4 linked regions of the Arabidopsis thaliana genome follow. The protein of the gene in region 1 purifies or fractionates together with the protein of each later gene. This does not show direct contact. Each region holds a gene or a part of one and is shown in the gene's direction. Other genes may lie near its edges.

Region 1 (8,093 bases):
TATTGCCAATGGCACGACCCGGTTGCCTATTTTACATGAGAGGATTGGCTAAAAGTTACAACGATATTTCAAAAAAATTAACTGACACAAACATTTTTCTATCTCCCTAATGTATAGCAGTACTCTGCATTCTGCAAAACTCGTTAATGTAGATTTCTTACTGGAGATATTCGATCCATATCTGCAAATTCAAGTTGTTTCCATTTTTAAATTGTGACATAGTCTATGTATAAACACATTACAAAAATGATGTCCTTATCTATGTGAATATAAAAATGCCATGCATATATATAGTCAGAGAGAGTGGTATTTGATAGGGATTAGGGAACAATACCATACGATGAGTCAGAAACAGATACATACATCATTATTTTAATAGTGCAACCAGAATCTTAATCTCATTATTACAAGTTGTGATAAAAAGAAAAAAATATTGAAACTAAAAAAAAGGTACTTCCTACAACATCAGAACATGAGATTCTAGTGGAAAATTATAGGTCGCTTTACAAAAAGCGGACCCTTGGTTTTTTTTTTTTTTGTTTTACTTCCACAATTTTCGAAGTATAAATTTACTTACTTTTCAATCTTGGTTTAAATTTTGTTTCGTAGTTAATACAAGTACTGTTTGTCTTTCTTTCATGAATCAGTGTAAACGGTAAATGATTCAAAAATGCTTGAAATTCGGTATTGATTAACGCACCTTAGAAGTTGACAAATTAGGCAAAAAAATAAAGGAATCAAAGAATAATAATACAACGAATAATGAATACCAATTGTCGATTCATGTTGATGGGTTGATCAGGTTCCAATGCAAAAAGGAAAGAAAGCAGCGTAGAAATTACGCATCTTAATTTGTATTGTGACTTTTCTCAAGTAAGATATGAATGAAATCAAGATTGAATTTGTCTAAATCTTTTCCGATTCTAATGTTTACGATTGTTAGTCTTCTAAGTTAACCACTTTGAAAGAAAATTAGTGTTGAAGTTAAATTTTTTGGTAATGTATGAATGTATGATCCCGTTTGGTGAAGTGATATGTTTGAAACAAAATTTAGATATGAAAGCAAAGATTTCTTGTATTACAAACGGTTACATTACTTGTTGAGAACTAGAGTTTTTACTTTGTAGCTTTCATGATGATGTGTTATATTGTAGTTGCCGTGTTACAATTAACAAATCCAGACTCGTGCATGAATTGTAGTAAATGAAAAAAAATGATTATCAAAAACGTCCAATAGCTTAATTATTTTTAACGTAAACCAAACGTTTTAATGCATGCAACTTTAAATGCGAACAAAGAAACGTATAATTTTGAGTTAAGAATAATATATTGCACACAAAATGATGAGTTTACAGTTGTACCCCTCTTTGACTGCTGTCGTCACACTTCGACCTTTGTACGATTCTTTGAAGACTTCAGGAGAAAGCTGTAAATGAGAGATCACGAATCAACACAAACCTTATTTTCAAATTGTTAACTTAACATATAGTAGTAATGAATTAATCGACGAAATTTTTATTCTAAACATGCTTGGATTTGAAAAGCAACTGTTAATTTTTGTTCAATCATAGGTGAAGAAAATTTATTATATCCTTATTTTTAGTAGTCTAGTGTCTAGTCAGGTGATGTGAGCCTACATAATGGGTCATCAAGTTGTCAAACTCAATAATAGTTTTTCTCACAATTTTATTTATTTATTTCTGGCATTATAAATAGTTTTATTAACTAGACTACCCCAAATGTTTACAGTTTATAAGGTTAATAAGAAAATTTACTGGGACATTTTTAAGTCTAGTTTATTCTACTACATGTTTTTCAAAACAAATACTCATTTTGTTTTAATTTAATTATCATTTTAGCACTTAAATTTAATCTCACAATAATTATCGTTTTTAGTTTTTTAATGCAAATGTTTAATAAAAATGTGAGTATTAATGTCTTGACCAATAATTTTTTTAGAAACTATATTGAACAAGGGTAAAGTAGAAAATTTAATTGTTTTTTTTTATTTTCACTGCAAAAAATCTTAAACGACAAATAATTTTAAACAAAACTATTTTAATAACTAACCACTAAACTAACTATATAACTGTTTTACAAACGAAAGCGTGAACTTCACGTAAACAAAAATTCAATTTCACGCCGCCGACAAAAAACCTTAAACGACAACTAATTTTAAATAGAAGGAGTATATTTTAGTAATAATTATATGTTAAACTGTTTTAATAAATAACCACTAAACTAACTATGTAACTGTTTTACAAACGAAAGCGTGAACTTCACGTAAACAAGAATCTAATTTCACGTCGCCGACAAGAAAAACTGATTTCACTTATATATCTTGATTTATTAATGGACATTCACATACTCTCAAATAAGATTCTAGATCTTATAAATTTTAATCTATTTTTGTCTCAATTAATTTAGTTATTTATCACATTTCGCCTCTTATAAAATTATATGATAATTGTCTAAGCAGCTAACTAATTGTAATTGTTTTTCAAACAAAAAATATATTTTAATTACACATAATTTTTTTATCGAACAAAAATATATTTTAACGAAATATAAATGTTTCGAATCAAAGATAACAAATTTATAGCCTCAACTATACGTAAAACAAAATTTTATTTTACATATCATACTTTGATTGATACTAACACAAACTTCACAAATAAATTCGTATAATTATGTAATTTTAGATTATTTAGAGATTATAACTAGTATTTAGAAAAATCGCAAAATCATATAAGAAAAGAAATGGAATTTGTTTTTGGTTCAAATTATATTTTTTTTTCCCGCTATTCATATTATAGTTATGAACCAAAAATCAAGCTAGAAATAAAAACCACTAGGATTTTTTTTTTTTGCTAAGATGAAAATTTAGTTATACACTTATTTTTATTTATTTAAATATTACATTAAACTAATAAAAAGTATTAATTATTCTAATAACTTTTTGTCAGTTTTAAAATTAGGCCAAAAGTAAAAAACTAATACAGCTAATATAATATACTTAAGGAAGGATATTTCAACTTTTTCTTTTCTTCCCAGTTTCAGAGTTTATACAAATAAGGTAAAATTCGCAGAAACAGAAAATCATAAAGTAATTAAAATAATACAACCGAGGAAGTAAAAAGATTTCCAAAAGGTAAAAGGTGTACTCGTAAAGTAGGTAAATAGAGGTACAGGTCAAGGGGTAGTTTCGGTATTTACACTCTTTCTTCTTCTTTTTTTTTTTTTTTTGGTGTCTCACATTCCAAAGTCCCCATTGGACTTAGAGAAGAGTTTTTTTTTCGTTTTCTCTGCTTTCTCACTTTTTCCCGTTTCCTTTGGGAATACAAACGGCGGCTTCTCAAAAGCCTCCGATTTCGATTTTTTTTTCCTCTCTTTTTTTTTGTTCTTTCTTTAGAGTCTCTTCTTCAACTTCTTCTCCGGCATCTTCCGTCGGAGCTAAGGATCAGAAGTTTTTGTCTGTGCACTGTTTCAATTGGATCATTACATAGTGAGGATTCTCTGTTCGACGAAACGAGTAAGTAACTACATTGTTGTTCTTCCTCAATTCTCTTCTGGTTTTTCTTTCGTTTTTTTTTTTAAAACCTTTTTCGGTAATTTTCTTTTTATCTCTTTGAAACAATTTGAGTTCTTTTTTTTTTTGATTGATCACTGTGTCTGATTCCTTATCACGGTTCTTTTGTTTAAATTTGATCGATCGTTGTCTTTGAACTCCGATTTTGTTTCTATGAACTTTGTTTACTTTGGATGATTGTGAAAAGTTAAGTACTTTGGTTTATGCATGTTCTTATGAGAAATCGATTTCTTTCGTTTAGAGATCATCTTAAGGCGGCGAATGTTTTTGCACTAAGGGTTTGTGTGAGTCCTTTAGAAGAACATTTGGAAAATTTGTCCTTTTTTTTTTTTGGTCAGTGAATTTTTTTTTTTTTAATCCATGAATAGTGTATGTTCAAAGATTGAACCTTTTTGTGTGTATGTTCTGCAGTTTTTTTTCTTTCTTCTTTTTCTGAACATGTATTCTCTTATTTTTTTGGGTTCATGCTAGATTCTATTAGTAAATTCAATTTCGAATCTATAACTTGTTTTTGATAGGCCAGTCACAGAGGAAGATTGTGGTAACACTTTTGTCCCTTAACAAAAGTGTCTGTTTCTCTTTGGTCAATTTTTTGATCAGAGAGAGTTTGCTTTGGTTTTTGTGTTCTGGTCAATGAAATGCTAAAGATTGGTTTTTGTTTCATATTCTGCTGCACATTAGATTTGATGATAGAGGGTACAGATAGAAACTGATCTTTTCGACGATTTATCCGTGAGTTTTAGCTCTGTTTTATGTTACAGAAGTAAGTGTTAATTTTCAATAATGTGTGTTCAAAGTTTGAACTATTTTGTGTGTTCGTCAAATATTTTTGAGCTAGAATCTTCTTCCCTGAACATGTTCTCTCTTTTCTTTGGATATATGCTAGATTCTAAGTGGCCACTCACAGAGATAGTTTGTGAAGTTGTCTGTTTCTCAGTGGTTAGTATTGGTCAGAGCGAGTTTTTTGGTTTTGTCTGTCTAAATGCTAAATATTGGTTTTGTTTCATATTCTGCACATTGGAATTGGTCACTAAAACTTGCTTATAAAAACTGATGTTTTTACTTACGTATCTAAATTTTCCTTACTGATGGTTTTTTTTCTTGTAGGAAACTCTTCAACATGGAAGACGATTGTGAGGAGCTTCAGGTTCCCGTGGGAACTCTAACCTCGATAGGTTTTAGCATTTCAAACAACAATGATCGAGTAAGTGTTGTCCTTATTTATTCTTCTTGATTTGTTTATGAGTAGATGGAGCAAATATTTAATGTAATGGTACTTTATTATAGGATAAAATGTCTGTGCTAGAGGTTGAAGCACCGAATCAGGTGACTGATTCTCGGCTAGGATTACCGAATCCGGATTCTGTCTGCAGAACCTGTGGCAGCAAAGATCGAAAAGTTTGCGAAGGTATCATAAAGAATCTGGTTTTGGCAAATATTGTTCCAATCTTTTAGCTCATTTTATGATTAGTTCCCTGAGTTTGCTACTTTTCTCTCTGTTTTAGGGCATTTCGGGGTTATAAACTTCGCGTACTCGATAATAAACCCGTATTTCCTCAAGGAGGTAGCTGCGTTGTTAAACAAAATCTGTCCGGGGTGTAAATACATTCGAAAAAAGCAGTTTCAGGTTCACTAGTCTTTCCAAATCCTTTGTTGGTTTGTGTGTTTTGGAACTACATATACTAATGTCATTTTTGCTTGATATAGATTACCGAAGACCAGCCTGAGAGATGTAGATACTGCACTGTAAGAATATATGATTGCAACTAATTTTCTCAGTTTAAAACTTTGTTCCAACACTAATTTTCGGTTTTTGTTGTTGTTATATATCAGTTGAATACCGGTTATCCTCTAATGAAGTTTAGGGTAACTACTAAAGAAGTCTTCAGGCGATCCGGAATCGTTGTTGAAGTAAACGAAGAGAGTCTGATGAAACTCAAGAAACGGGGAGTGTTAACATTGCCTCCTGACTATTGGAGTTTTTTGCCGCAAGACTCTAATATCGACGAGAGCTGTTTGAAACCAACAAGGCGAATAATAACGCATGCACAGGTATAGAAGAGTGAAATGTACCATCTCCATGACTTCTTACTATATATAGTTTTCTGAAAATTTCACCTTTTTGCAGGTTTATGCTCTGTTATTAGGGATTGATCAGAGGCTCATCAAGAAGGATATCCCTATGTTCAACTCTCTTGGTCTGACATCTTTTCCTGTTACACCAAATGGTTACCGTGTAACCGAAATAGTTCATCAGTTCAACGGAGCTCGGCTAATATTTGTAAGCTAAAAACGCTTGTTTATATAATTTGTTATCATATACTATGGTATTTCTCTTATCTTTTCGAGTTTCTGTCACATTTTTGAAGGATGAACGGACTCGGATCTACAAGAAACTAGTCGGCTTTGAGGGAAACACACTTGAATTGAGTTCTCGTGTGATGGAATGCATGCAATATTCCAGAGTAAGTTAGTGGTTCCTGATAGATTTAAACTCTTCTTTCTGTTCTGTGAAGGTTAGTAGTATTTCTTGTTTTTTGCACAGCTCTTTTCGGAAACTGTGTCTTCGAGTAAAGATTCCGCAAATCCGTACCAGAAGAAGTCTGATACACCAAAACTTTGCGGTCTAAGGTTCATGAAAGACGTGCTGCTCGGTAAAAGAAGTGATCATACATTCCGGACAGTAGTTGTTGGTGATCCGTCCTTGAAGCTCAACGAGATTGGCATACCCGAGAGTATCGCAAAAAGGCTTCAAGTATCAGAGCATCTCAACCAGTGCAATAAAGAAAGGCTTGTCACTTCCTTTGTCCCCACACTGTTGGACAATAAAGAGATGCATGTGAGAAGAGGAGATAGATTGGTGGCTATTCAAGTCAATGACCTCCAAACCGGAGACAAAATATTCCGGAGTTTAATGGATGGAGACACTGTGCTGATGAACAGACCGCCTTCGATTCATCAGCATTCGCTTATTGCAATGACAGTTAGAATCCTCCCAACGACTTCTGTTGTCTCCTTGAACCCGATCTGCTGTTTGCCGTTCCGTGGTGATTTTGATGGAGATTGTCTCCACGGTTACGTTCCTCAGTCCATTCAAGCAAAGGTCGAGCTTGATGAGCTTGTTGCTTTGGATAAGCAGCTTATCAACAGACAGAATGGTCGGAACTTGCTTTCTTTAGGACAAGATAGCTTGACGGCGGCTTATCTGGTCAATGTTGAGAAGAACTGTTATCTTAATCGAGCTCAGATGCAGCAGCTTCAAATGTATTGCCCATTTCAGCTTCCTCCGCCTGCAATTATCAAAGCTTCTCCTTCGAGCACTGAGCCTCAATGGACGGGAATGCAGCTATTCGGAATGCTGTTTCCTCCCGGGTTTGACTACACTTATCCTCTGAATAATGTAGTTGTGAGTAACGGCGAGCTTTTGTCTTTCTCTGAAGGATCTGCTTGGCTCAGAGATGGAGAAGGGAATTTCATCGAGAGATTGCTCAAACACGACAAAGGGAAAGTTCTTGATATCATCTATTCCGCTCAAGAAATGCTATCTCAGTGGTTGCTGATGCGCGGTTTGAGTGTGTCCTTGGCGGATTTGTACCTTTCCTCTGATCTGCAGTCTCGAAAAAACTTGACTGAAGAGATATCATACGGGTTGCGGGAAGCTGAGCAAGTTTGCAACAAGCAACAGCTAATGGTTGAATCTTGGAGAGATTTCCTTGCAGTTAATGGGGAGGATAAGGAAGAGGATTCAGTATCGGATTTGGCCCGATTCTGCTATGAGAGACAAAAATCCGCTACATTAAGCGAACTTGCAGTCAGTGCTTTTAAGGATGCTTACAGAGATGTTCAGGCACTAGCATATAGGTATGGTGATCAATCCAACTCTTTTTTGATCATGTCGAAAGCCGGCAGCAAAGGGAATATCGGGAAGCTGGTTCAGCACAGCATGTGTATCGGTCTGCAGAATTCAGCAGTTTCTTTGTCCTTTGGGTTTCCGCGTGAACTGACTTGCGCTGCTTGGAATGACCCGAACAGTCCACTTCGTGGCGCAAAGGGAAAAGACAGTACCACTACTGAGTCATATGTTCCTTATGGAGTCATTGAGAACTCGTTTCTAACGGGTCTGAATCCATTGGAATCTTTTGTTCATTCAGTTACAAGTCGTGACAGTTCATTCAGTGGTAATGCTGATCTCCCGGGGACACTGAGCAGAAGATTAATGTTCTTCATGCGGGACATATACGCTGCTTATGATGGCACTGTGAGAAATTCTTTCGGAAACCAGTTAGTCCAGTTTACTTATGAGACTGATGGTCCCGTTGAAGATATCACAGGTGAGGCACTTGGCTCACTTTCTGCTTGTGCATTATCTGAGGCAGCTTACAGCGCGCTGGACCAGCCAATCAGCCTTCTTGAAACTTCGCCGCTTCTGAATCTTAAGGTCTTCCTCTTCTTATTCTTCGCTTCTTGATTTATTGAATCATTTCCACTTAAGTCGTTTGCATTT
Region 2 (7,972 bases), on another chromosome or scaffold:
TATATATATATATATATAAACAGTTGTTACAATCCCAATCATCATAAAATCTGTAGAGTCCTCTTCCAATCTTAACATCGTAGACAACGTTTGGATTTCTGCAAGTGGAGTGGGTACTTATTACTCTCCAGGTATTCCTGTCCTGCATGAAGTTGTTGTCAACTGTATAGAGTCCGTCTTCCTTAATAAGTATAGTGAAAGAGCTTGTTTCAAGGAACAGTAAATGGTTGTTGTCATAAAGCGTTGTCCACTCAGCAGCATTAAGCCAACTTTGGGTTGATGCTTTAAGTACATGTGCGACATCTGGCAAATATAGCATCAAAATATATTAGATTTGTAGATATATAAATAACTATCTTAGTTTTGCTACAATGTCTTCTTCAATTAGAATTTTCCAAGCATCAGTTCTATCACAAACCTTCTCCTAGATCTCCCTAGAATCCAGATCTGCTACATTCTTAGATTTTTAAATCTTGCCTAAGTGTTACAAATTCCATAGATCTTGCATTCCCTAAATCTTGATGTTCTAAAATTTCTAAATACAATGCCTCGATTTCCCAAATTCGCCACAGTATCTCGATGATCTCCTTCAAAACTAAAAGAGTTTTTAACTAACCAAATACTCAAATACTCCTAATTTGTATTCTTAACCCTTTAACCATAGCCTAAACAATACCCAATTTTTAAAATAATAAATAAACACTTACATTGTTTTTATTGCTTTCTTTGTAAACTATGAATTTTTTTTTGTATATATATATAATTTTATATAGATTTCACTATACATATGAAGAAAATTAATCAGACACATATTATTAGTTGCACTCTCATTTTCTTGGAAGTAGGAAAAATGATATAACTTGTTTAATTGTACAAACATTACCCAATTTTTTTTATTTTATTTTTGTCGTATTGTTTTGGCCGAACCATTTTCTTCTTTTATAAAATGGGAATTTTTGCATTCTATTTTCGTAGACAAAGAGTAAATTAATCATTTGTGAGAGATAATAATAAACTTTGGATGTTCTTGTCTAGTAGCTTAAAATAAAATTGAGTATTTTTGGTTTAGATAAATGTATAAATGGTGTCTAATGTATTCTTACCATTGGATGTTTGACAAATTACACATTTCTCCATTTTCTTTAGAGTAATCAAAGGGATAAGCATTGTAAGAGTTTATAACGATGGTCCTTGTGATGATCTAAATAATGCATTAGGCAGTGCTTGTTGATTAAAGAATGATGAAATCCTTTAACACTCACATGTTAAAATATTTGTTAACATCTTGTCCTTAATATTGTTAAAGAAACTTAACTAAACTTGTTAACATTTTGATTATGGGTGTCAAAATGGGTCAAAATTTATGGGTCAACTCAATTCAACTCAACCCATGAACTCTAATGAGTTCAAAATTTTGACTCAAATGAGTTGATGGGTCAAATGAGTTGATGAGTCAATTGGTTTGATGAGTAAAATTAGTTGGGTTGTAATGGTTAATGGTACTATGAGATCATTTCAAATTTTTTGATACATGGTGTTTTCCTCCCAAATATATGACTATAATATCACTAAATACTATGAGATCTCGTAGAGTTGTTGAGTACGATAAAAGAATCTATGAAAAAAGAACTTAAATAAAGAGGTATACGTTTGACAAAAAAAAAAAGAAAAAAGAAAAAGGAAAAGGTATAAAAAAAAACATTTGAGTTGGGCTTATATGGGCCTGTTTGAAATTTGGTGACATTACTTTTCGCCAAAAGAATTAAAAAGGCCCATATAGGCCCAACTTTAAACATTACTCTAATATTTATATCTTTCTCACTTTTGCTTTATTCTGATTTCTTCTCCTATCTCCTTCTCCGGCGAAGAAATTGAAAATTCATTATCCCTAAAACCCTAATAAAGGTCCAGAGAGTCGTCAGAAACCACCGATTAGCTTTTGAAATGGACGGTGCCACATACCAAAGATTCCCAAAGATCAAGATCCGTGAGCTTAAAGATGATTACGCCAAGTTCGAGCTTCGTGAAACCGACGTTTCTATGGCCAACGCTCTCCGTCGCGTAATGATCTCCGAAGTCCCTACCGTCGCAATAGATCTAGTCGAAATCGAGGTTAATTCATCTGTACTCAACGACGAGTTCATTGCTCATCGATTAGGTCTCATTCCTCTCACTAGCGAACGTGCTATGAGCATGCGTTTCTCTCGAGATTGTGATGCTTGTGATGGAGATGGACAATGCGAGTTTTGCTCTGTTGAGTTTCGGCTTAGTTCTAAGTGTGTTACTGATCAAACCCTAGATGTTACTAGTAGGGATTTGTACAGTGCTGATCCTACTGTTACTCCTGTGGATTTCACTATTGACTCGTCTGTATCTGATTCAAGCGAGCACAAGTAAGTCCCTTTTCATCATTAGATTGTTAAATGCAGAAATGTGGTGTTTCTTTTGTCATTATGAATCGATTGGAGTTGTGAAACGTTAGAGATTAAGCAATGGTGAAACAAAATTTGCATCTTTTAGCATTCCGAGGATGAAAAATACTTCCTTTCGATGGCCCTTTGCATGACTCTTCTTGTTCGTGATTGTTTGATGTTTAATTATGGTGGTTGTGTGGGTTAAAGACTCTGTTTTTGGTTTCGGGTTTCAGGGGAATTATCATTGTGAAACTGCGTCGGGGACAAGAGTTGAAGCTTAGAGCGATAGCGAGGAAAGGGATTGGGAAAGATCATGCGAAATGGTCTCCTGCAGCTACTGTTACGTTTATGTATGAGCCTGACATAATTATTAATGAAGATATGATGGATACTTTGTCAGACGAGGAAAAGATCGACTTGATTGAGAGCAGTCCTACCAAAGTGTTTGGCATGGATCCAGTCACCAGACAGGTTAGTTTTCACGTTTTGGAAGAATGCAGCTATACAAGTTTATAGCTTTGAGACTTAAATATGATTGAACTACTTTATAGACTGCCATGCCTTGAAATATATATATGTGATGTGGTTAGTGCATTTGCTCTTTTCTGTGCTTCTCTTTCTGTTAGATAGCACTACTTAGCTCTTTAGGAGAATTACGCCAGTCATCGGAATGAATCAAATAACTGCTAAACTTCTGGTACCAAACTGAAACATCTTTCTATATCTAATCACTGCAAATTATATGAATCACTTGGAGTATCTCTGTGCCAGTTGAACTTTTGTTTGTGATTTCATGTTAGAGATTTCAAATTATTCGAATGGTAAAGGGAATAAAGAAAGGAGAAGATATAGTACTTGTAGTACCTCTGTACCAGTTGAATTTTCTTGGAGATTTCATGTTAATGGTTCAGTGTTTACTAGGACTCACCACAACTGACAATTTTCCTTTGACCCGCTAGAGAACATTGTATATCATTATAACAGTTACAGTAGTTTATCGTTGGAATTTAGTATGCCATTTCTTTTGAAGTCTGTTGCTTGAATCATCACAACTGTAATTTTTATACTTTGCTTCTTAGGTTGTAGTGGTTGATCCTGAAGCATACACTTACGATGAAGAAGTGATCAAGAAAGCTGAAGCAATGGGGAAACCGGGACTCATTGAGATCAGTCCGAAAGATGACAGTTTTATATTCACTGTTGAGTCCACAGGTGCAGTGAAGGCTTCCCAACTGGTACTAAATGCCATTGATCTTCTGAAGCAGAAGCTTGATGCAGTCCGTCTCTCAGATGACACCGTAGAAGCGGATGATCAGTTTGGTGAACTCGGTGCCCATATGCGTGGAGGATGAACTCAAGTGATTAATTCGAGCTCTTTGTTATACCTGTTTGTTTCAGGTTTTGAGTTTCTTCTGGAGCAGACTGATATTAACCGTAGTGGCACTGTCTTGTTTGATAACATGTGAAGTGGCAGTCTTCTATTTGTTCTGGACCTCTGATCCCTCTGTTCCTGAATCTTGTTAAGTTTGGTTGTTGTTAGTTGTTAGACTCGCTCGTAACGAAAATAAACGCAAGGATTAAATTCAATACATTGAACAAGTATGATTAAAATGGAACAAGTATGTAGTTTAATCTTAAAATTCGTACCATTAACTGAAATGGAATGAAAGACTTTTGCATAGTGGATACCCAATTTAAAGCTCTTAAGTTCTTGAACTTCGATCACACAATAAGTTATGGTGAGTAGCTTCCCTTGGAATGAAACAAGAGACAAAAACTCAAAAGTTTTCGAGCTAATTCATAGGTCCGAAATGATGTCATGGATCTTAGATAAGAGAATTCCGGCATTGATTACTTGGACTAATTATTAACAATCAGATTCAATCAGTAAATCTCTCAATTCTGCTTCCAAAGTGGCAGTGATGACCGCTCGTATCGCTAGTCCTTACGCCATGAGAGGGGATGCCACATTTTCACGCATTGCTGAGTGGTGAGTCGAAAGTCCAGTGGTCAAATAGGTCCAGCCACAATTTTATTTTTTAAAATTATAGGCCACCACATTTTCGTAAGAAAGTAAGTATATCTATTTAGTTGGATCAATTATGGGATCGGCACATTAAAGTTTGTGCTTTTGTGGAGATAGAAAAATTTCACAGTATTCACAAATTGAGGTACTTTTACCTAATGTCGTTTTACAGTTTCATTTTTTACAACTTTGTAAAAAAAAATTTCATTTTGTTTCTTTTTTCTTGTTCCACTATTGCAGCATCGTCTACAACATATCCCATTAATAATTTTAAATCAAACGCAATAGGAGAGATACACGTCTCCGATTAATATGCATTCGTTTCTTGGATTGGCTTTCTCTCCGTAATCAGCTCAAATTCATTGGAGAGCCGGTGAATTTTGTCGCCGTCTCTTTCTTACACGACCTCCGTGTAAACAACAATTCTCCCCGCTCACTCTTCAATTCAATTTTATCGGAGCTCAAGATTGGAGCCCTTGGGTTCCATAGATACTATCTTCTTATGGTATACATTTCTTCTATGAGAGCTTGTTTAATGGAAACCATCAACATGATTAAAAGATTTGAAGTTTCTGGAAAAAATAAAGAGAAGAAGTAAAACGATGAAGAAGAAGAAGCAAGGAGAAGAAGTCAAACATAAGGGCAAAACAGTCAATTTGCGTATATAAAAGTTCCTTTTTTACAAACAACGTGAAAGTATCCATTTTCAAATATTTTTCAGAAAAAGTACCTATATCAACAATAACCCACTATTTAGTTAGTTTGATATAAATATTTTTTTAATTAAAAATGCGTTTTTCATTATCTAGAAGAGATTTTCTTATCTTGAAAACATATTCTTTAGTAATATATAATAAGTAAAAAAAACAAATATTAAAAACAGATAATATTATTAGAAAAACATATGAAAACAAAGAAAAAACTTATTTTGATTTTCTTTTACATTAAGCATGCACATAGTTGATACTCTATGAGTATCATTAACAATTTTTTAGTATTAATTTTAATATTTATTTATTGTTTGAGATTTTTTATGATACTGGTAATAAATTTGTTTCCAATGGTGAGACCGATATTGGTATCATTAAAAAAATAAATTATTTGGAAAATCAAAAAATAAATATATAAAAACTTAGGATTATAAAATTACTGCAAAATTATATCGCATAATCACGAAGAGCCTGCAAAATTACTCACTCGCAGAAAATATAACTAGTTAGCTAAAACAATAGAAAGACTATCGGAGAGAATAATAGAATTTTTTTTTTCCAGAAAAAACCAGTTTCACAGACGAATCATGAGCCTCCACATCACCCGATACTGGGTATCAAAAGAATCATTACACTGATACGGTATTAGGCCTAAATGTCTTGTCTGATTTATTAAAAACTTATTTATGGCTCTTGATACTCTAAATGTATCACCTATGTACATGGTCTTAGTTTTTGTTACTAATATTTTGTTTCGAATTTTGAGTATTATTTTTGAAATATTACCATATAGCCAATTTTTAAAAACATGTCCTAGACCAAGACTAGTCTAAGCACGGCACTAGTCCAACCTAAACTTGCTGCTTTGATATCATTCTCCAGGATGCATCAGTTTACATTTGATATCATACTCCGGAAAGAGAAGAAGATCAAACCTTCCTGCCAGTCCAGAAGAAGGATTGATCTGCGACTTTCCGACTTGAGGTTCTTGTCACTCTTTGGCCTTCTTAACCATTTAATCATGTATTTTTTAAATGACTTGAGTTATAAAGAAGCTTTTAGATAATTTTGGGCAAATTGAGAAAAGTTTCGTGATGGTGTGAAATCTCCTTCTAGTCCACATGAAACAATGAGATTTAGATCTTTGTATGTCACTAAGAAAATCTACTAAATTAAACCATCTAAAGTCTTTCCAAAATCATTCTTTCTATAACACTAGACTTTAGAAGAATTTTTTAAATTTTATGATTTAATAACAAAAAAATTATCATTTTAACACAATCCGTTTCAAATGCTTTGATTAAATAAACCCGCACAATTTTTTTAAAAAACCATTACCAATATTTTTTCGGGATTTAAAATATAAAGAAGGGTAACAATGCAATTAAGATGTTCCAACTATCACATTAAACTCATCACTTGCAACGAGTTATTCCCTTCCATAGTTTCTTAGAGAAAAGTGGGATTAATTACGAGATCGGTACATTAAAGTGTACGCCTTTATGGATATAGGAACATCTCACTGTACTTACAAATTTAGGTACTTCTACGTTATATGATGATTGTTTTACCCTTCAATTTAATTGAGTTTCATCTCCTTGTAGTACCTCTCTCTCTCTCTCTCTCTCTCTCTCTCTCTCTCTCTCTCTCTCTCTCTCTCTCTCTCTCTCTCTCTCTCTCGGCATAGAATCTACTGCCTCTAAACTCGCCATTGATGTCCATTACTTCTCCATCGCCTTACAAAGTTCAGATCTATGGACTATGATTGGCCAATCTTCTTCCTCGACGATGAAGGTGGTAATTCTCCATAGCTTCTTTGAATTTGAATTGCTGGATCTGAATCATAATTCCATCATCTCTCGCTTTATTTTAAAAGAGGAATAAGAAACAATTGAAATTTTTAATTGATTCTAATTATATAAGATTAGAATCTTTGGGTTCCCTATATAGTTTCCCCTTAGGGTTTAGCTTTCTCCCATCAAAAAGCTTTTAACTGATTTTATTGGGTTTATTGGAATTGTATGGTGATAAAGATGTTGAGTTCGTCGGAGAAGATGGAGTGAAAATTTAGGGGCAATATCGTCTTTTCATTTGCCAAAAACTGCCTAACCTCATAAGCCTAATCATAATGTGCTCTTTAAAAATTTATGGCCCAAAATGTACCCAATATTATAAAGGGTTTATTGGCAAAGTAGACACTTTTTCAAAAATAATTTGTAAAGTAGGTAATTTTTTTTAAAATTAGAGAGATAGACACTTTTTTTGTTTTTTGTGAGATAGAGAATTTGTCTAATAGACTAAAAGACAAAATACATATCAAATACTAAAATACCCTTTATCTTGAGAGTAAATAAAAATTATATGAGAAACCATTTTTACTTTATTTTGTTTGTCTTTATCTTTTTATTTTTTTTTATTTTAGTTTTCTTAAATATTAAAAAATATATATTCTTTTTAAAAAAAAATTACATTGACTTTTAGAGTATTTATCTATCATCATTATAATGCACAAACATTTAAAACATCGTTTTGTACACTAACCATTATTCGTTGGTGTACAAGTGTGTACACCGATATTTCATAAATCATCACCGACTTCTCTTATACTTATTAATATAAGTAATATTGTTTTTAATATTTTACAAACATAATGATTGTATAAACCAAATATTATTATTCAATATAATGGTGTACATGATGGTGTACATAATTAAGTTACTCTTAATGGTGTACAAAATGATTGAAATTATTATGACGATTGGTGGATAGAATGATATATACAACTTTTAAATGATAACATACAAGATTGGTAGACAAAGTGT
Region 3 (7,087 bases), on another chromosome or scaffold:
AGTATCCATCATTGCCAGTAGGTCAAAATAGCCAGGTACATATCTGAATCTGTGGACTTATTTTTCATTGAACTGATTGATTCTCAGTTACAACATTGACTTCCTCTGATGCGTAGTTTTTGTAACATATCAGAATAACAAAAACTTCATCTGATTCGTATATTCTCTGGTTGAAAATCTTTTTTTCTTTTCTGGAAAATGCAGTTTCCTATGTCAGGAATTGGTCAGAATGCTCAGGTATATATCTCATTTTGTATTAACAATTTCCCATACCTTCTGTACCTTTGAATTTAATCACAGAACATAATGAGTTCTTGGATTTAATGTCATTTTAAAAAGAAACATCAGTGATATGACTTCCTTCCTTGGTTAAAAATGGTTTAGGCAGAGCTTATTTTCTATTCTGTTTGGATTGTCTAGGATTATGCTCGGACACATATACCCGTGGGAGCTGCTTCAATGAATGATATATCAAGAACTCAACAGGTAGTTATGGTTTTTATCAGTGATTCAGAACTTCTCTCTGTTCATAATTCGTCCTTTGGTATTCAGATGTTCTTTTTCGTTGAAACCGTTTTTTTCCTTAATTCTCTTTACAATCATATCTCTTTTTCCCAGAGCCGTCAATCTCCCCAAGAACTCATGTGGAAGAATAAAGCTTGAGGTTCATATCTACCCTTTCTCTCCTCTCTCTTGTATTTTCTCCATACCGAAACACATTCCAATGTATGTGGTTTCTTTAGTTGAAGTTACCTCTGTGTTGATCGATACTCTACTTCAGGTACATGAGACGAGGAGCTAAACTATCTCAGTAGCTAGATAGAAATTTCTGGAACTAATTAGTCAAGGAGAGGAAAAGCAGCAATGGTAGTGTCCTTAGTCTCTGATTTTTTTAGTTAACCCCTTCAGTTATAATAGATAGGCGATCGTAGACCATCTGCATTCTATCTTTTCTCTAATCAGATATCTCCTCCTTTTTCATTTTAAGAGCTGCCAAACAATGGCCTGTTGTAACATAGCTAGCGCAAGTTATGTCTCATGTTGTGTTACTAGTAGTAACTTAGCTGGGTAAACCAAACTTTGATCCAGATTAGGAGTCATATATAATTATATAAATAGAATATGTACATTCATAGATAGCTCATCACTTATAATGAGACTAGATCTTAGCAAAATCCAACTCTAATTGTCATTTTCAGAGATCTATCAATTTGTAGTTTCCTGATCTTCATATATGTGTTCGCTCTTCTAATGATTACGTAAAATCAGAGTCCTACGTAGGTGGACTTCTTTAATTTTTATATAGATAATTAGATATCATTCAATAAGTCGGGCTTTTATTTTTAGTTAATCATTCTACAATTCTTCCTAATCTCGCTATTACTACCACCGGGTATCCCTCCCATTTTAACCATAGCGTTCTTAAAATCCTCAAAGAAAACCGACTGATCTGTTGCGTAGGTCTCAACAATCGCCCTTGTCCCTGGGTCTTGAACCGCTAAAGCCTGGTCTGATGGAAGCAATCCCTCACCCGAGAGGAGGTTTACATAGTACTGGTTGTCAAATGTTGATGGAGTCACCAAGTCAAGCTGAGTGATACCTACACTGGGCCCAACAGTCGAGCATAACTGTTGCAGTGACTCGAGGAACTCAAGGTTGTCTCCGTGGTTAGCTGGTTGTCCAGTTTGCAGTGGCTGCAACCGAGCTGTAAACGAAGTGCACCGTGCCTTTCCCAATGTATGTCCACCTGGTTTCCATATGTGTAAGTATCAATAACTTGGGTTGGTCTAGAGAAAGATAAAGAAGAGTACAAGAGAATGTATACCGGAAAGAGCGACCATGTCGGTTTGTGAAAGGCCAAGATTCTGGAAAGTAGAGATGAGAGTTGATACGGTTGAGTTTGGTGAGGGTAAGCCATTTGTTGCTGCCTGTTTGCTTGCTGTTCTACTGTCTTTTCTTCCTACTTCCACCTCCCACCTTGGTCCACCCGACTTCAAAAACCCGATTTAAAAATGTTAAACATAGACGATTTGAATTGAGTTCATCAACTTTATAATATGATGATAACTACCACAACGACTGAATCTCTAGCAGCCATGGCAAGAATGTCTGCGCATGAGACGGTCTCTGGACATACAGATTCAATATCAGACTTTATCGAATCAATCACTTCGAACCCTCGTAGAGAATTTAGATTAGGAGGCGCCGTTTTTTCACCAACCAGTCCTTCTGTGTCATCTAACAACACCGAAGCATCACATCCCTGCAATGCATAATGCAAGTCAAAAACAAAAACACATTCTGGTTCGTAGTACTCATTCCCTACTTAACCGGTACAATTTAGATTTGTCACGGTTTAACTAACATAATATAATCCTTCCCGGTTCAATGGTATATAAAAGACGGGGATTAGATGATAGACCAAAACTATTAAAACAAACTTAAGATGAGATGTGACTTGCATTGACAAAACAGTCGTGGAAATGAAGACGGAGAAGAGAAGCAGCCATTCTTGGATCCTCTAACACCGTGGTTTCCACCCACGAGTAGACGATAGACTCTGCTTCGGGGCAGCTATTCCGGTATAAACCAAAATCAAGAACCAAATCGAACCCTATGCCAAAGCTTGAACCGGTTTCTCCACTCCCGTCTTCGCAACTCTCGCTGAAATTGGTTGGATTCTCGGAGAGTGAAAGAATTGGCATTGCAAAGAAAAACATAAGGAACAAGTTAAAGAGATTCTTCATTGTCGTTATATGATCACTCCACTTTCTTCTGAGTTTTAACATTCAATGGAGTTGGTACTATATTAGAAAGCTAGTGTATGTGTGTCCATATTTATAGAAACAATTCAACTATATACACATACATAACACGTATATATGTATGTGTGACTGCATGACTGCATGTGCACTTCAACAACCCAATTACATATTATGTACTCGTCAAATTAATCATACGTACGTCAATAAATGTATGTATATATAAAAGAAGTAGATTGGCAAATATTCAAGTAAAATTGCAATGTTAGTATACCAAATGATTAACAAATTCTCATAATACAATTTATGATCAGCATGTATAATTGTGTGTTTTTTGTTGTTTTTTATGCATGAATTATTATTTGAGCAAAACAAAACGTTTTGGACTAAACTATATACGTGATAAGGGATAAGATTGCATAAGGTGGCTGGCTAATGGCTATTATTAGTAAGTTGTAATAAAAAGGAACAAAAGAGTAGTAATGATATTGTAATGAATGAAGAGGAAACACACAAATAAACCATGTTGTTACTATTGCTAGTGCTAGTGCAAGTGCTAGAGAGATGTGTCGGTATACACTATAGAGTCAGGAGTAGTTAAAAGACAGACCAATTCAGCAGTTGGAATCTGACAGAAGTTAGTAGTATATAATGTGCTTAATTTCTTTCATATTTTTAATAGAACAGAACTTATATAATGAATATCGAATAATTTTCACAATGATATAAAGGTGCATGGGGATATGCATGTGGTTGTTAATGTAAGAAAAAGTACACTAGTCTTCAATGAAGAAAGGGTCAAATTTATTTCGTATTGTCCTCTTCGTATTTCTTTATTTGTATTTTTTTCTACCCCACAAGTTAAATTCTGATATGGGCCGGCCCATGGGCTTTACGCATTTATTGTCTAAATGCCCGAGAAAGTTCATGAAATTACATCCGATTGCCACTACGCAGTCTTTAGTCTTTACTAGAGCTTGACCTCTTCTCTCTCATGTCCGAGTGAACAAATCCCGCCAAAGATACGAAGAGACTGATTGTGAAATCAAAGAAGCATTCAAAAGCTCGTTATCTAAAGATTCTGCGAAGATGAGTACTATGAAATTTTGTCGCGAATGGTAAATACGAATCTCTTCGTTTTTTTTATTTTGGGGGTCAAAACGAATCTGTTCTCTGCTCTTTTATACTAGTCTTCTGAAATTGAAATTTGGGTTTTCATTTCTTAGCTCATATTGAATTATATATTGTACCCAGTTCTCTTAAGTCTCTAATTGTCGGAATTTTAGTTTTGGATGGTTTGCTTATGTTTTCTATTGGATTAAAGCTCCAACTTTTCTCCACTTTTGCAGCTTATGAACCTTTGATTTTGTTTTTTTTTGAAATGTTCAGTAATAACATTCTATATCCCAAGGAAGACAAGGAGCAATCAATCCTCCTCTATGCGTGCCGTAATTGTGATCACCAGGTAAACTTTGTTTACTATGCTTTCTTTTATAAAATTAGGTTTCCTTAGTGTTAATGGAACAATGTGGTGTTGAAACAAAGCTAGGGCTGAAACCAATAGACTTTAGTTGTTCACTTGTATATGATTTGTGTTGATATTTATTTAAGCTCTGATGTTTTACTCTTTGTAATCGCTTATACGGTTAAAGGTCGAATGTCTGAACTTGAAGTAAACCAAGGAATGATAATTTAATGAGTTTAGATCATTTTCCTTGTCTCTCATATCATGAATCTGATTGGTTAAGATAGTAGTGCTTATCAGTATAAAGAGTTCTTTGAGAACTTCTGAACAAACGCAAGACCTTTTAAAAACCGTTTAGAGGGTTTCTGCAACTTAACTTCTAAAACCATTTGAGTTTCAACAATATCCATTGGTGTTACCGAATCTGAGTTTTTTTTTGTTTCTACTGTTTGTGTTATGTTTTGTTATTACAAAGCATTATGCCTTTGTTAGCTACTGAAAACCATTCTAGATGAATCTCTGTATGGGATCTTTAGCTTAATGCCCGGACTTGCTAACCGAATTAGTTATAAACTTACTGAGTTACTGTTAGCTATTTATCGTCCTGTTGATAGAAGGTCTTGAAATTTATATTCTTTTATTTGGCTTTGCAGGAAGCAGCAGATAACAATTGTGTTTACAGAAACGAGGTTCATCACTCTGTAAGTGAACAAACTCAGATCCTATCTGACGTTGCTTCCGACCCAACTCTTCCACGTACCAAGGCTGTGCGATGCGCCAAGTGTCAACACGGTGAAGCTGTCTTCTTCCAGGTGAATCATTATCTTATATCTTAATCTTTAATTCGTCATCAATCAAGGAGTAAAGAAACATTCTTTCGTTTTTCTCTGATCTAACTTAAAGATCAAAAGAGATTTCTTTCTCTTGCTTTTTAATGTGCTTATGGCTATTTCGGTTTGATATAGCTCGTGTGTGTCATCGAATTTTCAGGCCACGGCTAGAGGCGAAGAAGGAATGACTCTGTTTTTCGTTTGCTGCAACCCGAACTGTAGTCACCGTTGGAGAGAATAGATTGATAGAAGACTACATTTTTCAAATGTAACGTGTATTTGTGTTCCGCTTTATGAGTTTTATACAATTCAATTTGGAGTTTTCTGTGTAAAAATATGAATACTATGAGACTGTTCTCGGGTTTCTTGAATTGTTTCAGGGTCTTTTATGATCATTTTGGTTTTTATGTGGGTCTAATTATAAATTTGTCGTTTTATGCGGGGCCGATCTGAAAATTCGTCCATAAACCATGATAGTGTTGAAAATTTGTATACGTGGAGTCTAGCCGCCGGCTGCTATAACTTTGCTATAACGTGTGATATTATAAAAAGTTGATAAATCTAATCTTCTAAACCAAATTGTTTTAATAATGCTGTGTTTACTTCGTCATCGTATCGAATTATACGGCTGCTCTTGTTAAGTGATGACAATATCTTCAAATAAAGTTTTTTCTTTTGTAAGCAAATATGATAAAACTACGTTAGCTAATAGCCAACTTGGTCCATCATAGTTCATAAAGTCAAAAAATCAGTAACCAATTCATGAGTGGAATTATACTTGATTCAATGACACTGTTTAGGAGCTTATCTAAATTGCACAAGTTTTGTTACACGTAAAACACAAATATGCCAAATTAGACATGTTTCTCGTCATTCTAAAACATTAACAAATATTTACATAGACGCAGTCAAATAAATCAAATTTCGTATGATAAAAAAAAAACAAAAAAAATAGCAAGGTTGATTTGTCAATGCTGGCAAAAATAAGCAATGTCCTAATTTCTCAAGTTGGAAAGTGACATTTCTCTACCCATTTTTTGAAAAGATATTCTCTTTTGCATATAAGATTTGATAAATTGAACGCATATTTGCACTCAAGCTAACGTTATGTACTTGATTACTTGACCCGACTAATGACTTATTGACTTTGATTAATAAACAAAGATATTAGCCACTCCATTCTACATTATATACAATCTATACGCATCTATATATATCTACTAAAAAAATTGTAAGTACATACATATCAATGTTAATTTGTATATAAGGAGCTAAGAACAAACCCAATTAGGCAACTAGCAATTGCTAAAACACGTAAGATCTCAAATATGACCACGTTATTCCTCCTTATTGCTCTATTCATCACAACCATCCTCAACCCAACAAGTCTCTCTCTCTCTCTCTTTAATCTCACATGATTTATTCTCATTTTCAATTTTTATAGATATATAAACTTAATCATAATTAACCTTAATTATGTTATATGATAAACTAGGTGGAGAATCAGTAGGTGTATGCTATGGAATGATGGGGAACAACCTTCCTTCTCAATCAGACACAATCGCTCTCTTTAGACAAAACAACATCCGACGTGTTAGACTCTACGATCCAAACCAAGCCGCTTTAAACGCTCTTAGAAACACGGGTATCGAAGTCATCATCGGCGTTCCAAACACCGATCTTCGTTCACTCACTAACCCTTCTTCCGCTAGATCATGGCTCCAAAACAACGTCCTCAACTATTACCCCGCCGTTAGCTTCAAGTACATCGCCGTAGGTAACGAAGTATCTCCGTCGAACGGCGGTGATGTTGTGCTCCCTGCCATGCGTAACGTTTACGATGCTCTAAGAGGTGCAAATCTTCAAGATCGTATTAAAGTTTCTACCGCCATTGATATGACTTTGATTGGAAACTCTTTCCCTCCTTCCTCCGGAGAGTTTCGTGGTGACGTTAGATGGTATATCGATCCCGTCATCGGGTAATTTTCCAACCAAACCAAATAACCAAAATTCATTAGATTTAGTTATTT
Region 4 (7,679 bases), on another chromosome or scaffold:
ACCTAAGCATCAATGTTATTGTGCTTAAATATGTACAGATAATCTATGTTTGGTCTGACATTAGTTACTCATGTAGAAAGACAAAAAAAAAAAAAAAAAAAGGGTGCAGTGGAGTTGAAGAATGTATATAAACATAGAAAGACACATCACACAGATCCTATATTTTTGTCTCGAACAAGTCGTAGAAGTAAATCTGAATATATCAGAAACGCAAGGAGATAGAAGCTCAAATCTGTGGACTGCAGATTAGACATACATGTTTTTTGTTTTGTTTTTGTCATCATCTTCATGTTTCCAACTTAATTTCTTTTGAAATATTCTACTTAAATTAAAGTTGTTTAAAATAGGGCTATTATATTCCAGATTTCTTTTTAACAGCTTCTAGATTTCTTTTTATTTTATAACTTTTGGTATAATTATTCATTTTGGATCTAAATAAGTTTATTTACGTACATCCGATCTAAAATAGTTTATTGATAAAGCTTTCTAATTAACTCATATTTTTTTTATTTTTTTTGTCGAAAGTGAATTTTATTGATTAAGAGTGACAAAAGTCATGATACAATTGTTCAAGAATCCAACTAGGGGGACAAACATTATCAGAGTAATAGTTACAATGGAGACAACCCTGTTTAGCAAGTAAATGAGCTACCCTATTACACTTTCGTTGAGTGTATGAAAAACTGATGTTTTGGAATCTAATTAACTCATATATATTCTTTTTTTTTAAACACCCATTTTTTTTTACCATAAATCAATTGTTCCAATATTTTCTTTCTATTCAATTTTTACATCTACAGTAATTATTGTATTATGAGGGGGTGATTTAGTTATCTATTTTGAATGATTTGAGTTTTTTTGTGAGTTATAGATGATTTTGGGTAAATATAGTAAAATTGATAACTTATGAATTTTCCTAATAACCTAGAACACTTTTTTTTTTTTTTGAATACCTAGAACACTTTAAAATCATTAAAGACCAATCTTGGAAAAAAAAAATCAATAAAAGTGGATTTGAATATACTCTTTCAAATTCATTAGTTCAATAGCATTGGATTTAGCAATTCTTATTATAACCAATAACACTAGATTTTTTATTAAAAAAATAATCTATGATAGGATAACATATGAATTATCATCCAAAACAAATTAATTTATTGCTTGCCAAAAAAAAAAGGTATATTAATATTGTTACTTTTTCATTTTATTCCACCTATTGTTGTTATTATTTTGTTATATCTTTATGTAATAGTAGTATACTAACGTAAGCTATAAAATTCTAATAGAAAATTCATCTATATATATATATTCTTATGGGGGTGTAATTGTGTAAACTCGTCCGTAACAGATAACATAATGCAACTAGAACAACTTCCGTGGGAATTGGAGGAAAGAATACTCACTTTGATTCCAACAAAGTGTCTCGCTCTATTCAGATCTGTTTGCAAACGATGGAACTCTCTTTCAAACGAGAGAAGGTTTATCAATAATCATTTGGCTCGTGCCCATCCACAATAATTCATCTTGATTGCCAGATCCAAGATTTGCTCGGTGGAAGTTAATCTTGATGTTCCATCCATAGAGGTGCATAGCCATAACTTACCCTCATATATTCCCGGTTATAATGGTTTCTTCATGACGGTCGAATATTGCGACGGGTTAGTGGTTTATGCTACCGAGAACGGGATTGGGATATGCAACCCATTGTTGAGACAGATTAGATGGATCAAATCCAAAGTGAATTATCGTTACAATGGGGTGGGATACGACAATTCTAGACCCGAAAATCATTACAAGATCTTTGAGTCTTGCCCCTATAGCGATACAACCGTGAAAGCTAGTATCACCGAGTTTGTATCCGATGCATGGATTTCGAAACCGTACGAGTTTGCATATGATTGGGATTTTATGTCGTCCTATAGTGTATCATTGAATGGAGCTTTGTATTGGGTTGCTTTCCATATGGCGTCTGATGACCAGTTTATTCAAAGCTTTGATTTTTCTACGGAGAAATTTGAACCCTATTGTCTCTTGCCTAATAAAAAATGTGATCCAAGCAATGCTAGGTCCCTTGCAGTTTTTAGGGGAGATCGATTTTCGTATTTAGAGCAAAACTATGAGACAAGGAATATAGAGATTTGGGTAACAAAAAAAGAGATTAAAATTGAGAATGGAAAGGCTGTGGAGTGGATGAACTTGATGAAAGTGTCAGTTCCTAAATGGTCGAGTTTAAGAGTAATAAGCTATGATCCGCCAAGTTACTTCATCGACGATAAAACCCTCAGTCTCGCATTTGTGTTGTTTGAACAAGAAGGAAAAGGCTTGCATTTATATTGCCAAGGGAGATAAGTTCCATGAAATTATAATAAACGATTTGGTTGAGTATCCTACTCGTCATCACCGTACCTATGTTCCTAGTTTGGTCCCAGTTCCAACGTTCACGATGAGCAATAGAAGTAAAACGCAGCAGGTTGAGTCCCGCTTCACACCCCCTAGAGGAATACAAGCGAGCGATGGAGGAAACGAGTGGGACGACGGCATCTTCCACAATGTGAAGAAAATAAATGTAGGAGTAAATGATTTTGACACGGTCTTTGTCAAGTTTCACTACTCCAAATATAACCGGATTGAAGCCGGAGCAGGTCATGGAAATGCGACAACACATAATCCAGACGACGAAGTACGTGACGTGATGAGATTTCTTACTTCTTAATTTATTAGTTTCTAACTTATATATAGTTTTATCATACATATCATATGGATTTCTTGCATAGATTATGATCGCTGGAGGCGACTACATTGAAGCCGTCGAGGGGACCTACACTGAAAGCCATATCACCTCCATTACATTTCGGATGCGCAAGGGAGACATGATGCCACAGTACGGACGCTTGAACGGGACGCCCTTCTCGCTTCGAGGAGAACGAGGCTCCAAGGCCATCGGGTTTTACGGAAGAAGCTCTGGTGTCCACCTCACTGCTCTCGGCGTCCACTTCTCTCCACCCCCTCTATATTATTCGTTTCCTAACCATTCACCAGTTTTTAATTATTAATAATCATGCCAATAAAAAGTAATAATTCTTTTTTGGATATGAATATGATCGTTTTTCTTGAACATGCACGATTGAGTAAAATGGGAATATTACTGGCCGTGTTTTTTATTGGGTTCGCAAAAGCCTAATAAAAAAAGTTGGACTTATGAGTAAAATGGGAAATAGGGTTTTCCAATCCTTCTTTCTGAAACCCTAAACCGACAAGGCAAGCAAACAACAACGCTGCTATACAAATCCATCTATAAACTCTTTTTTTTCTTTTCGACCGTGTCCATTAAAAATATATGATGCAACCAGAGAACCAGCCGTGGGAATTGGAGGAAGAGATACTTTCTCACCTTCCAACAATTTTTCTCGCTCGATTGAAATCAGTTTGCAAACCAACTAGTGTTTAACTATTGCTCATACTCAGCAAACCATGCACCTACTCCAATATTTCAAACTTCTGATCTCTCCTTTAATGCAACATATGTAATAAACAACAAAATATACATGGAATGTCTCGGAAAAACACAAATCTATAGGGTATTTTCTGTAATAAGTAAAAATATAAGGAAAATATGTAAATAAACCAAACTACAAGGAATATATGTAATAATATGAAAAAGTAAAAAACAAAAAATCCTTTCTCTCTCGCTTCTCTTCTTCTCTGCCCCTCCTTAACACTCTTCTCGCCGCCGTTCCTCTCTCTGCCTCTTGAGCCTCCGGAGCTGGTGAAAAAAATCGTCTTTTCTATCTCCTTTGAAGGTAATTCAGCTTTTCGATTTCTCCAGATGCTCATATAGTTGTTTTATGCCAGTCGAATCGGATTATTTTCATGAAATTAAGAGTGTTTAGGGTTTGAATCTCCGTGTTTGTAGATGGCGAGCAATATTATCATGTTCGAGGATATCTTCGTGGTCGATAAGCTAGACCCTGATGGCAAAAAGTTCGATAAAGGTATCTACTTTTTTTTTTAACCTCAGTCACGATTTGTAATGCTTGTCATGGCTTAAATCGAGTTTCTGATATGAATCCTAGTTTCTTGTGTTTGTTTTAAGTTTTAGATAAATTGGAATCCAAGTTAGTGTGAAAAAGATCTCAACTTTTAAAATTTTAAGCCTCCTAAAGTTTGTTTGTTCTGACTTCAAATTGATTGCGTCTCTGTGTGTTTGTGGTAACACAGTTACGCGTGTTGAAGCAAGGAGCCACAACTTGGAAATGTTTATGCATTTAGATGTTAACACTGAGGTTTATCCATTGGCTGTTGGTGATAAGTTCACGCTGGCTATGGCTCCCACGCTTAATCTCGATGGAACTCCTGATACCGGATACTTTACTCCGGTACTGCATGCTTTTTCTATGTTAGATTTTTGGTGTATATTGCATACTCTTTTTTACTTGCTTGGATAAATCTCATGAATGGTTACAGTAAGTTAGGCCAGTTAACTTTTCTTAAGGTTTTGGTTGGGGCATACCATTAAGTGCTAATTGCTCGATATGACTAATTCCACTGGCTTGATTCAGGAGATAGGAATAAGACTAATCATATGAAAACTTGAGCAATACTTAGTCTCTTGAATATTGAATTAAAACCTATCTTTGAAAACCAAGACTGTTTTCTTTGATAATTTGAACATTCATTTAGTTTCCATGTCGCTCTATTACAAGAACATGTATTAGGATTTGATCTAATTGCTTAATAGAACAATTGCTTTGGCTTGATTCAGGAAGCCTATCTAGGAATAAGAGTAAACATGTGGAATTTGAGCAAGACTTAGTGTCTTGACTCTTGAATCATGAAACCAAGATTGTTGTTAGCTAATCTAATCTAGTTTCCATCTCGCTTTGTTACAGGGAGCAAAGAAAACACTTGCAGATAAGTATGAATACATCATGCACGGGAAGCTTTACAAGATCTCTGAGCGTGACGGCAAAACTCCAAAAGCGTAAGAATCCCATATACCTAGACCAACAAAATCATTTTTTCCCAAAGAGATCCAATTTAACTTACAGATCTAACCATCATGCTTCGGTTTCTATCTTGCAATTATGTGTTTGCAGAGAGTTATATGTTTCGTTCGGGGGGCTCCTGATGTTGCTTCAGGGAGATCCAGCTCATATTTCTCACTTCGAACTTGACCAGAGGCTCTTTCTACTCATGAGGAAGCTTTGAGATGCCATTGTCTAATCACTTTCCGAGAATATTCGCATAAAAACCGAATTAACAGAGAGCTTTCTTATAAAAGCTTTATCTTATGTTAAACTTTGCTATTATAAATACTATTTTCATGAAGCAACTCTTGTACATCCAATATTTAACTGTCCAATTGAATTATGCTTGTAGCTCAGAGCTGTTGATGAATGATGATAACCACTTGAGGCCAATAAGTTATAAAACAAACAGAGACAAAAAAATTGTTTCTTTTCTAACAACACTCTCACATGTGTTTAGTAATATTCTCTCTTTGAACAATAACACTAAGCCAATAAAACAAAAAAGTCAGTTTCTGGCGTAGCAGGAATTTTTCTTTGTGATAGTGAAGTTTTTGGAGTTGTTGTTACTCATGCTTGTATCCAGACGCCTTCCCACTTCTCCCAACTGTATGAGGCTCATGCGTATTATCGCTGTTTACCTCCAAACCATGATAAGCATGGCTGAGGAAATACTCGGATCCTGATTTTGCAGCTGTTTGATTTAGTGAGTGAGTTATGATTATTGCCTCTCAACTGCAATGCTTTCTCTGCAGCTTATACTAATGCCATTGGCTCTCATGTGTCCGTCTTCTTCTCCATTCTTTGCTTGATCTGCATCAAGTAGATTGTCAAACTCATGGAATCAAAAATGGCTTTGGTTGACTTAACAATGTATCAAGCTTTCTATGATACCGTTTGTTTTGTGATCTTCTAGGTAACCACCCTGAAAGAAGAAGATCCGTGGCTCCTCTGATCCGCTATATATGTGCTTCTGAAAAGTGGTTAGCAATTTGTGAATTGTGATCACTTGCGGCATTTAGGTTCATATTGGGTGTACGATTTTGGATTATAAAGAAAATCATCAAAACGTTCGTAGAACACAATTCACAAATTTATTGATTTAAACTAGAACGATACACGTAACTGATTCTTCTTTTTGCATGTCCAAAATTATCATCAAGACCGGACTAATCATCATAGGATACATGTGAAAGTTGCAGCCTCTTACATTTTCTCCGTAACTATTTTGCTGTCCTGCTTTTATCCCTACATTTTCTGAGAGAAAGTCTTCTGTCAGTGCTAGATTTCATACTTATTCCATGACTAAAGTTACTTTACTTCATTTCATAATCAAATAATATACTTTCTATTTAAATTATTATATAATTTGTTGACAAAAAAAATATAGGTATCTAAGAAGTAAAAAGTATATTTTTCATATATATTAAATTAAATTAAACATGTTCTAAAAAGGGATAATATTTTTTATTTATTTATCTAACTTTTGGTATAATTATTTATTTTCTGATACAAATCTACTCACTCACATCCAGATTATATGTATTTTCTCTTTCTAATTGCCTCATATCTACAGTCATTCATTTTTTTATAGGTTTTCTTTCCTAATTACAATCATTTATGGACAAAAGTTAAAAAAATAAAAATAAAATTTTCTTTTCTCTTCATTTTCCCATCTATTAATATATATAGTTATTATATTCTTCATGTAGTAATAGTAGCAGTATCTGTAAGCATTGAATTTCTGTTATACACATCCATCTATATATTATCTTGTTCTGATATATTATCATAAAGCTAAAAAAAAGGTATGATGCAACCAGATCATGACCTGCCGTATGATTTGGAGGGAGAGATACTCTCTCACCTTCCAATACAAATTCTCGCTCGATTTAGATGTGTTTGCAAGAGATGGAACACTCTTTTCAAGGAAAGGAGGTTCTTCAACAGTGATTTGGGTCTCGCCCGTCCACAATTCATCTTGCTTGCCGAATCCAAGATTTGCTCGGTGGACGTTAATCTTGACGGCCCATCTATAGAGGTGCATAACTTGCCCTCAGATATTCCCGGTTATAAACTTTATATGCCCATGCACGTCGAATATTGCGACGGGTTATTTCTTTATGCAACCTGTTATGGGATTGGGATTTGCAACCCATGGCTGAGACAGATTAGATGGTTCAAATCCAGTTATGAAGGTTATGATTTCAGTGGGATGGGATACGACAATAGTAGACAGGACAAGCACTACAAGATCTTAGGGTCTTACTGTACAAATACAACCATGAATGCTAGTGTCACCGAGTTGGGATCCGATGCATGGAAATCTTACGAATTTGCATTCCATAGTTGGAATTTATCTATGTCGCCTTATAGTGTTTCATTGAATGGAAATTTGTATTGGGTTGCTTATAATCATGAGTCTCGTGATTATTTTATTCAAAGCTTCGACTTTTCTACGGTGAGCTTCAAACACTATTGTATCTTGCCTACTAAAAACGGGCATCGTCAATGCGATGGTAGATCACTTGCGATATTTAGGGAAGATCGATTTTCGTTTTTAGAGCAAGAGATCTATAACACAAGGAATATAGAGATTTGGGTGACAAAAGAAACTATTAAAAATGGGGATGGAGAAGCTGTAGAGTGGGT

What was found.
Region 2: the proteins of NRPD1A (region 1) and NRPB3 purify together in Arabidopsis thaliana (affinity purification with mass spectrometry; 2 studies listed by BioGRID, with this or other methods). This does not show direct contact.
Region 3: the proteins of NRPD1A (region 1) and NRPB9B purify together in Arabidopsis thaliana (affinity purification with mass spectrometry, with the first as the bait; one study listed by BioGRID). This does not show direct contact.
Region 4: the proteins of NRPD1A (region 1) and NRPB8B purify together in Arabidopsis thaliana (affinity purification with mass spectrometry; 2 studies listed by BioGRID, with this or other methods). This does not show direct contact.

The regions. Positions count from the first base shown.
Region 1 is NC_003070.9:23,357,743-23,365,835, reverse strand, and holds the start of NRPD1A (nuclear RNA polymerase D1A), read left to right. Parts: upstream 1-3,348; 5' UTR 3,349-3,399; exon of another isoform or gene 3,400-3,532; intron 3,533-3,643; 5' UTR 3,644-3,688; intron 3,689-4,696; 5' UTR 4,697-4,709; coding exon 4,710-4,793; intron 4,794-4,876; coding exon 4,877-4,997; intron 4,998-5,094; coding exon 5,095-5,216; intron 5,217-5,296; coding exon 5,297-5,335; intron 5,336-5,422; coding exon 5,423-5,641; intron 5,642-5,717; coding exon 5,718-5,870; intron 5,871-5,958; coding exon 5,959-6,054; intron 6,055-6,104; exon of another isoform or gene 6,105-6,134; coding exon 6,135-8,027; intron 8,028-8,093. UniProt on the Arabidopsis thaliana protein: DNA-dependent RNA polymerase catalyzes the transcription of DNA into RNA using the four ribonucleoside triphosphates as substrates. Largest and catalytic component of RNA polymerase IV which mediates 24-nt short-interfering RNAs (siRNA) accumulation.
Region 2 is NC_003071.7:6,731,717-6,739,688, forward strand, and holds NRPB3 (DNA-directed RNA polymerase family protein), read left to right. Parts: upstream 1-1,817; 5' UTR 1,818-1,944; coding exon 1,945-2,393; intron 2,394-2,647; coding exon 2,648-2,885; coding exon of another isoform or gene 2,886-2,930; exon of another isoform or gene 2,931-3,040; coding exon of another isoform or gene 3,041-3,088; exon of another isoform or gene 3,089-3,493; coding exon 3,494-3,766; 3' UTR 3,767-4,103; downstream 4,104-7,972. UniProt on the Arabidopsis thaliana protein: DNA-dependent RNA polymerase catalyzes the transcription of DNA into RNA using the four ribonucleoside triphosphates as substrates. Component of RNA polymerase II which synthesizes mRNA precursors and many functional non-coding RNAs.
Region 3 is NC_003075.7:9,200,740-9,207,826, reverse strand, and holds NRPB9B (RNA polymerases M/15 Kd subunit), read left to right. Parts: upstream 1-4,011; 5' UTR 4,012-4,065; coding exon 4,066-4,227; intron 4,228-4,880; coding exon 4,881-5,039; intron 5,040-5,217; coding exon 5,218-5,298; 3' UTR 5,299-5,475; downstream 5,476-7,087. Other genes in the region: flowering time control protein FCA, read left to right, coding at 3-35, 205-237, 421-486, 619-663; AT4G16270 (peroxidase superfamily protein), read right to left, coding at 1,344-1,747, 1,826-1,991, 2,072-2,263, 2,463-2,747; AT4G16260 (Glycosyl hydrolase superfamily protein), read left to right, coding at 6,386-6,443, 6,553-7,036. UniProt on the Arabidopsis thaliana protein: DNA-dependent RNA polymerase catalyzes the transcription of DNA into RNA using the four ribonucleoside triphosphates as substrates. Component of RNA polymerase II which synthesizes mRNA precursors and many functional non-coding RNAs.
Region 4 is NC_003074.8:22,012,716-22,020,394, forward strand, and holds NRPB8B (RNA polymerase Rpb8), read left to right. Parts: upstream 1-3,660; 5' UTR 3,661-3,800; intron 3,801-3,913; coding exon 3,914-3,992; intron 3,993-4,218; coding exon 4,219-4,376; intron 4,377-4,889; coding exon 4,890-4,981; intron 4,982-5,096; coding exon 5,097-5,208; 3' UTR 5,209-5,646; downstream 5,647-7,679. Other genes in the region: AT3G59580 (Plant regulator RWP-RK family protein), read left to right, coding at 1-6; AT3G59590 (jacalin lectin family protein), read left to right, coding at 1,452-1,478, 1,543-2,235, 2,315-2,680, 2,775-3,053; AT3G59610 (F-box family protein / jacalin lectin family protein), read left to right, coding at 6,838-7,679. UniProt on the Arabidopsis thaliana protein: DNA-dependent RNA polymerase catalyzes the transcription of DNA into RNA using the four ribonucleoside triphosphates as substrates. Component of RNA polymerase II which synthesizes mRNA precursors and many functional non-coding RNAs.